Linked DNA regions of Nothobranchius furzeri. Each later gene encodes a partner of the first gene's protein in a complex. Links are inferred from orthologs where the notes say so. Each region holds a gene or a part of one and is shown on either strand. Other genes may lie near its edges.

Region 1 (4,314 bases):
TGCTCAAGTGTTCACCAATATTCTAGACGAGTCTTCATGCCCACCGGGAACTGAACATTGCATTATAACAGGTTACTGGTCCCAGGTAACCTCAGGTTAAAGGTCACTAACTCCAGGGACCATACTACACCTGCTTTTTAAAAGAGTGTTCAACAGGTTTATCCAGGCGATTACCTTCATGTGTGCAGGAGCAGCAAACCTGCAGCACGTGCAGCATGGTGGCCCTGGAGATGGGCCCTGCTCCAGTGCAACTCTGAGCCCAAAAGGGCCTTTCAGTGGAAAAAGTACGACCGAAAGAAAGTATTTTATCTGAAGGAACAGAAATTTAAATCCCTGTTGCAGTTTGGTAAATTTGGAAAACTGTAAATGAATGATATAGAGCCCACGTGGCCTGCAGCTGCAGCACGTGGTGGAGCGCACGTGGCTGCTAGCGGAGCTAACAGGCCACTGACCGAGAACCCGCTCTCTCAAAGTTAACTACACTAAACGCTGCTGGAGCTTATGAAGAAAACACGAGTCCACAGAGCAAACCCTTAGTTCTGTTATTGAATTAAACCCAACTACTAAAGCATGTTGGACACGTGGAGGGATTTGTTTGTTTTAACTGGCTCAGACGCTGCCAAACCTCCTCATAGACCAACTTAGGAATTTTTTTTACTGCGATTCCTTCTGCGTAAAACACGCTTGTACGTGCACGTGGACGTGTTGTTAATAAAATCCCTGACTCAGCAGAATTATGTTCAAACTTAGCAATAAATTAAACACAGACTGTCGCTTACAAAACGTGCTCGACACTCACCAGCTTCGTCCGCCATCTTCTAATGAAAGATTCTTCTTCTGCTTGATGTTTTATGGCGGCTGGCACGAAAGTACTTGGTGCACTACCGCCACCAACTGGTCACAGAGCAGAAATGAAACCAAATGAGGTAAATAAATAAATGAATTTGCTATTTAAATACAATTTTTACATAATTAAATATAAAATGGAAAAAAATAAATGTGAAAAATAATTCTGACTTTTCTTTCGGTGGTTCTAATGCTCTTCTTTAATTAACTAGCATCCTGGGGGGAAATAAACACTAAAAAAGGCCAGTGATATTTGGAGTCAGATAAGTCTGTCATTAAGTAGTGAGACACAGATCACTGGTGGGCCTCTAGTGCAATAGTGTGTTAAAAAACGGAAAAAACATGAGATGACTGCGGATTTTAGAAGAAACGGGAACATGCTAAATGCTTGTTCCATCCTGGGAGAGAAGGTGGAGGTGGCGGAGGAACATAAATACCTCAGTGTCCACCCGGACGGCAGACGGGACGGATCAGTGTTTACAGTTAACCCCAAAATCCCACTATCTCCGCGTAGTGGAATTTGAGTGTCCACAGCTGCAGATCCAATAAAAATACTTCCTTTTTTATTGTTTGATAAACGTGTGTCCACTCCAGGCCAGGTGGGGGCAGTAATGCTGCACTGCTACCACCCACAAACGTCGAAGAAGAAGAAGACTCAGCATAATTCAGCTGGATTTTATGCGAGAACTTCAGGATCAGATGGAAGGTGAGGATCTTCTTGATTAGTGAAGTAGTTTTTGTTCAGGTCTGAATAACCTGCAGCTTCCGGGTTAAAACATTCTGATGACGTGTGGATGTTTTACTGCAGGGTTGTAAATGAAACCCTGCAGAACCCAGCTGCCTCATCAACATTCACTAGGACAACTTATTTAGATCGTTCCTGTCCGCAGGTATTCTGTCCCATTACTCGTGGCCACACTGCTCCAGGTGTTCTTTCTCCAGATGTTTCTGCTCTTATCACAGATGTTCAACAGCATCTAGATCAGTTCAGAACAGTCCAGTGCTTGGTTCTGATCCATTCTCGGTGTTCCTAGCTGTGTTTTCTGATGATAGACTCTGGACAGTAGATTTGGCTCCAGAGGGTCTTGGTGGTCCTGGGATTGGACCCTGAACCTTTTCAGGAATCCTTGGTCCAGGTGCAGTGAGTCCAGAACAGAACTGATCTTCCTCCATCTTCTACAGTGTTTCTAGAGCCGATTTCCATCTCATCAATCAAAATGATGCTCTCCCTGAAGCTCGTCAGTGTGGTTTTTGGTGATCTCTAGTCTGTTCTTTTGGGTTTTTCTGTCACCAGGAATCCTCCTGGGTCTTCAACCCCTCATGGTGGGATCAGAAAGGCTTCAACAGTCCTGGATGCATTGTTTGTCTGATTCTTCCTTCTGATCAACCTGAGAGTGGATCTCATCTCGGATCCACGTTCTTAGTGGTTGCCCACATTCCCATCAACCTCCTACTTTATTAAAATTGTCAGCTGAGGTCCCAGGACCATGAAGCTGCCTGGAGACGGTCTATGAGCCGTGGCCTTTAATACCCCTGACCTTTGTGAGCTCATCTGACAGCTAATGTTTCTGTGGTCCAGGTTCAGTTTGGCCCAACCAGCTGCAGCATGACTCCTCAAACGGGTCAGATGATGGCTGATGTGAAGTGAAGTTAAACCAAAAGGACAAATGTCTCTTTAAGGGGGACAAACCTGTCTACCCAAGCTAGTTTAGCAGATCTTTGTATGACAAACAAATCATTTCTGTGTGTGTGTGTGTGTGCTCCGTTTCACTGCATGAAAGGAGAAATAACACAAATTCACGGTTTCTAGGTGATTCTTGTGACACCTCAGCGACCCCATCAAACAGGAGGTGCACCTGGATCACAGGAAGTGCAAGGAAGATCAGAGACAACGCCGCTGACTGGCACAACCTGATGCTCAGGTGGGACAGGCTGAACGACGAAGGATTCAATTTGGCAGCAAGTATCGTCAACATGAGGCAGTGAGTTTGTTATTTAGGTTATTTTTCTCTAAGTTAGCCCCCCCCCCCCCACACACACACACTAGATACCCTCTGGGATCCAGATGAGTAAGGGTGGAGATAACTCGTTTTCTTTAGAGCAATCATAAGACGGAGCTTTACTCGTTTGTCTACATTAAGCTCTAAGCGGTCGGTTTTTAAAGACTCATAAATCAGAGGGATCATCAGCTGTGGTGATGTTTATGTCTTCAGTTCTCAGGGAGATCTGCTGGTGTTGGACACGTGTCCACCACCGTCACAGTCCACATCGGCTGAGGCGCAGCAGGTGGCTGGAGCTGCGGAGCTGCAGGATGAATGCCTCAAACTGCAGGATGTCGTTGACAGAATGGTGATGCTTCATTTAACCTTCATCTGGCACGGTTCCATAAATCAGGAGTTTATATGTTGAGTCTCAGAATAAAATAGTTTTTCTAACCTGATAAACAGCTGCTGTGTGTGGAAAGCTGCGGTTGGTCTGGGACCGTTTAATTCAATCTCACGTCAAATAAATGACTTCTGCTCATTTAGTTTTCAGTACGTAACCCTGGTTCACTCCAGCCACGTGTTTCTTCTGCTCAGGTTGTTGTGGTGAAAAAGATGGAGCACCTGGTGGAGATACAGCGTGGCGTTCTGCAGCTGGAGGAGTTTCAGTTTGGTCCTGAAGGAAGACGTGTCCCTCTGTGTCTCAGCTGGAAGACCCGGGAGTTTGGTAGGTCCACCTGAAGCTAACACGCTGACGTCACCTGGACGGGGTTCTGCTTCCACGGGGAAAACTACCAACACCTGGCATCATAAACTGAGCAGGAGGAGTATATGCTGATTATGAGGTGGTCCAGTTGTCTCTATGGCAACAATCTGATGCTGCTACCATCACAAACGCATGCTTTCATGCTGTGACCTCAGACGTTCTGATGAGTGATCCACTAACTAGAACTCTGATGATAACAAAGACCTCCTGTTCAGTCATCACCCACGTCTCCACTCCTTGTGGAGGAGTTGGTGTTCCCGGTGGTCCTCTGGAATGAGAGCAGCAGGTTCCTTTGGCGGTGGAGATGCAGATGTCTGGACACACATTAGAAAATAACTTCAATTGTCTTCCAACCTTTGATGAATCCACTGAACCAATAAGTTTAATATGGTCTGTCTGCTGTTTCAGAGGAGATGTCTGGTGTCCTGCTGGCTGCCTTCAGTCAGGAGCTGAAGTTGAAGCAGACGATTCTGCAGGAAGTCGCCCACACCATGACCTCTGACCTCTCCAAGGTCTATCTGTCCTGTTGGCTCCACCAGCCTTTCATCCCAGCAGCAACCAGACTTGGACTAGAGGCTCTGCTGCTGGAGACGGGCCATCGCCCACTCTAGACTGGCCTGCTGTAGTGAACCCTCCTGTGGTCCGTGGGAGCGATGGTTAGGGTGTAGACCTGCATTAGAGAAGTTTTTATGATTGTCCTACAGAAGAGCAGCAGGAATC
Region 2 (4,250 bases), on another chromosome or scaffold:
TTGCTGATGTTCCCGTGTGTCACTTTGAGGCTTGGCACACATAAACTGTGGCTTTTGGTCATGACACCTTGTTTGTAAATGTAAGTATGTAAATATGTACATATATATATATATATATATATATATATATATATATATATATATATATATATATATATATATATATATATATATATATATATATATATTCAGCAAAACGGTAATTTTACATGAGAAATGCCTGAGACATTGCATTTGTATGCAAAAAAAACTTGCACTTAACTGTTGTTTGCTATATTAGACATGCATTTTTTGTGTTTTACTCACACCCAATAGTTTTATTCTGAGTGCTGAAAAAGGTTCGTTACAAATGTTCGTCGTTTTCACTGCAATAAATATGTCATTTTATTCAACTCGGATTTTTATTTTATTTTGTTTACTTTCAGGTTCAGTGAGCTAATACAGTATGACAAAATGAAGAAATGACTAAATGCACATAGACGAGGTTTTGCTGAAAAGAATGATACCAAACAAGGCATTAACAGTAAAATATGGTTTAATTTAAAGGTGAACACTAAAACTTGTCAAAACGGCTACCAGTAGTCACACCACCGACAGAGGGTTAAACACCAGAAACGGACTTGATTATTCTGCATTATCCTGTAACTTTGGGAGTTGTGAAGCATTTACCTAATGAGTTTATTGAAACGCATATGCTGTAGTTTTTTGTCATCTTGACCACGTTTGAACTTGTCCAGCTCTAAAACTCCAACATTTAAACACTTTAAACTGGACTAGATTATAATGTTAGGGCAAATGAATTTGTAACAACAGTTCTACACCAACTGCAGACAAATAACAGAATTAAAAAGAAGCCCGTGTGGGGCCAAATTGATTAAATCATAACCAAGAAGCTTTAAAACAATAACATATTTAAGTCAAGGTCAAAAGCAAACAAACTTTTATTTCGGGATCATATATGTAAGTCTTACTTGAGAGCAGTCGGTGCCTCCCCAGTCATGAACCTCACCGCACGTCACTGAATTCAAATGATTTTCTATTTCCTGTCTCTTTATTCAGCTCTAATTTTAAAACCAAAGTTTCTTCAGTAGAATCTCATTCACCACTGGTGATAATTTGGCACGCACGTGTAAAATGAGTGCTCCTCAGTCTTTTCATTCAAATAAAAGAGTTGTAATCTATTAACTTGTTTCACAAAATATAGTGTCCATAAATTCCCAAATTCACCTGACACGGTCAAAAACTGTCTCAGTCCATCACGCCTGAGGCACCTGAGGACTGGACAATAGAAATGTTTCTAAACCGATATAAACACTTGTCTACGTCAGTGGGCGTGACTTTCTATTTCACTCTACTGCGCAGCCGCAGACTCAAACCCACGTTTCCACTGCGCAGACTCAGTTCCTCAGTTTTTCATGCAGACTGAGCAGGAATGACGGCGGCTGTAAACAGGATAATCTACTGAAAACCACAAAGTCTTGTTCTAATCTTTACCCGCTTCATGTTGTTGGCGGACGATGCAGCGTGTGAAGCTTCTGCTGCCGGACCCCGCTGACCGGGGCTCTCAGAGGTGCCGGCTGGGTCCGGGCTTGATGTCGGCGCTAAGCCTGAGACTAGGCTCTCCTCTGCTGGTGTCTGTTCCCGGGGGGAGCTGCCTCTGTACCGCCTGGCCCCGTTCGGACCTGGCGGAGGGGTTCCTGCAGATGGACCTGAAGTGTATCGCTCCCACTTTGATCTCTCAGCCTCCCGTGCACCTGAGTCTGGAGCCACGCCATCTCACACCTGTGTCCTGCCCTAAACTGAGGGGAGTTAAGGTAACGGTGGTGGTGCAGAGCGCTGGCTTTAGGAAGCACACACCCGCTTGGGTTGTTCATGAGCTCGTGAAGGACATGCTGAAGGGTGTTTATGTTCACAAGCAGTATGTGGTAAACATGGAGGACTATGATACAGAGATCAGGTTTGTTGTTATAGACGGAATCAGACCGGACTCTGACAGTGCAGGTATGGTTACCTCAAAAACAGCTGTGGAGATATCCGGGATCCAGACTCTCAGGCATTACAAGAGCCAGCTACTGGACCAGCACACGCCCCCACTGGGAGGACTGGACGAGGTCAGCTGTTTGAGCATAACTTACTATTATAGTGATAAAAGCTGAAACCGTTTTCCTTTGTAGGTGAGTGCTTCTCTGAGAGAGATGCTGCAGCTGCCCCTGATGTACCCAAACACCCTCAGCTCCCTGGGGGTGTCCTGCCCCAGGGGCGTTCTGCTGATCGGGCCTCCTGGAGTCGGCAAAACCCTGTTGGTCCACAAGGTGGTTGGGGAGGTGGGAGCCAGCCTGGTGGTGGTCCGAGGGCCAGAGGTACTACTGTGTGTTTGCACTGATATGGATGAGTAGCAAAACAATAAAACACTGTCAGGAAGTCATATTTTACACACAGGAAATATATAAGTTTACTGAAATGGTCAAGAATTTAAATAAAGCTACATGACAGAAGAAAAGTCAAAGAGGCAAATACATTTTTTTCAGATGCCATTCTGTTGCGCAAACTATTAATGTTGACGGCTTATACAGACTTTTATACTATACTTTTATACTAGAGACAAAACAAACAGCAACGTTTAACCCAGCAGAAAGGTTATTTAGTGCAGATTGAAATGGCTGTTCTCATTTACATCTGATTTATTGGTGGTGAACTGTTCTTCCAGGTGGTAGGATCTCGACCGGGCGAGAGCGAGGAGACGCTGCGGGCTGTGTTTGAGCGTGCTCGATCAGCAGCAGAAGAGGGTCCCTGTGTGCTCTTCTTAGATGAGCTGGACTCGTTGTTTCCCAGGAGAACCGGCTCGTCTGCACCAGAGAACCGGCTGGTGGCTCAGCTGCTTACACTGATGGATGGGATGAATCGGTCTGACCGCTTCCTCATCGTAGGAGCCACTAATCGCCCTGACAGTTTGGACCCAGCGCTGCGGAGGCCTGGGAGATTTGACCGAGAGGTACTTTTTAAATGTGTTTATCAGAGTGAATTAGAAACAGAATAAAGCTTTGAGCTGTGAGTGTTTGTCTCTCCTCCAGGTCATTATTGGTGCTCCAACCGTGCAGCAGAGAAAGGCCATCCTGACCGTCCTGTGTGAGAGGATGCCTGTGTGTCCCAGGCTCAACATGACAGAACTTGCACAAATCACCACAGGGTACGTTGGGGCCGACCTGAGTGCTCTGTGCAGGGAGGCGGCCATGCACGCTTTAAGGCAAAAAGTGAAGGTAAACTGGCACTGAAGCAGAACAATGACATTTGAACTGTTTCTGTGAATTCTCTACATGCATCTTAAGCTTCGTTGTTGTTGTTATGTCTGCAGGGTTCAGGGAAGCAGGAGGTGGAGATGAAACACTTCCTGGAGGCTCTGAAGTCCGTGCATCCCTCCAGCTTGAGGAGCAGCCTTGGCCGGACGGAGCTGTCCTCCGTGTTGTGGGAGCACATAGGAGGCCTGGATCAGGTCAAAGTCAAACTAAGACAGGTAGCTAAATGGGGGGGGGGGGGGTGACTGAAACTATAACACTCAAAACCTCCTCTCCATATTGCCTTTTAAAGAGCATTGAGTGGCCCATGAGGTACCCCGAGGCGTTTGTGCGTCTAGGACTGAGTCGGCCCCATGGCGTTCTGCTTTATGGACCGCCAGGATGTGCAAAGACGACGCTGGTGAAAGCTGCCGCCTCCTTCTCCCACTGTGCCTTCCTGTCTGTCAGCGGGGCTGACCTGTACTCCTCTTATGTCGGAGACTCAGAAAAAGCTTTAGCTCTGGTACATAAACTTTTAAAATCAGCGACCTGCAGACATCAGACCTGCTTTTATCAATCTGCTTGTGCTCGTGTAGCTGTTTCGCCAGGCCCGCTCCTGTGCTCCCTGCATCCTGTTCCTGGATGAGATAGACTCTCTGATTGGTTCGCGGTCGAACAATCAAACCCCCAACAGCGTGCAGACCCGCCTGCTGTCTGTTCTCCTGAATGAGATGGACGGGATCGGCCTGAGGGTGCTGGAAAGGAGAGGAACAGGAAAAATCCTCCAGACAGAGGGAGTGCAGGAGACTCACACAGAGGAGGTCGTATGATGCTGATGACATCACACCGCTTCAGCACAGTGGGACTTGTGTAATACGTCGTTTTTGTTCTTTCACAGCTGGACAGCCAGGAGGTGTGCAACAAAGATGTGATGGTGGTAGCTGCCACAAACAGACCCGACTGCTTAGACAGTGCGCT

The links.
Region 2: cinp (region 1) and afg2b share a complex: the UniProt entries of both Homo sapiens proteins name them as parts of the 55LCC heterohexameric ATPase complex. The link is inferred for Nothobranchius furzeri from reciprocal best matches to the Homo sapiens genes CINP and AFG2B.

The regions. Positions count from the first base shown.
Region 1 is NC_091758.1:16,265,541-16,269,854, forward strand, and holds the start of cinp (cyclin-dependent kinase 2-interacting protein), read left to right. Parts: upstream 1-1,396; 5' UTR 1,397-1,524; coding exon 1,525-1,552; intron 1,553-2,656; coding exon 2,657-2,828; intron 2,829-3,059; coding exon 3,060-3,195; intron 3,196-3,425; coding exon 3,426-3,555; intron 3,556-4,002; coding exon 4,003-4,205; 3' UTR 4,206-4,314. Other genes in the region: H/ACA ribonucleoprotein complex subunit DKC1, read right to left, coding at 800-815. UniProt on the Homo sapiens protein: Component of the DNA replication complex, which interacts with two kinases, CDK2 and CDC7, thereby providing a functional and physical link between CDK2 and CDC7 during firing of the origins of replication.
Region 2 is NC_091749.1:43,208,118-43,212,367, forward strand, and holds the start of afg2b (ATPase family gene 2 protein homolog B), read left to right. Parts: upstream 1-1,381; 5' UTR 1,382-1,517; coding exon 1,518-2,111; intron 2,112-2,174; coding exon 2,175-2,360; intron 2,361-2,707; coding exon 2,708-2,992; intron 2,993-3,071; coding exon 3,072-3,257; intron 3,258-3,352; coding exon 3,353-3,511; intron 3,512-3,585; coding exon 3,586-3,795; intron 3,796-3,868; coding exon 3,869-4,093; intron 4,094-4,170; coding exon 4,171-4,250. UniProt on the Homo sapiens protein: ATP-dependent chaperone part of the 55LCC heterohexameric ATPase complex which is chromatin-associated and promotes replisome proteostasis to maintain replication fork progression and genome stability.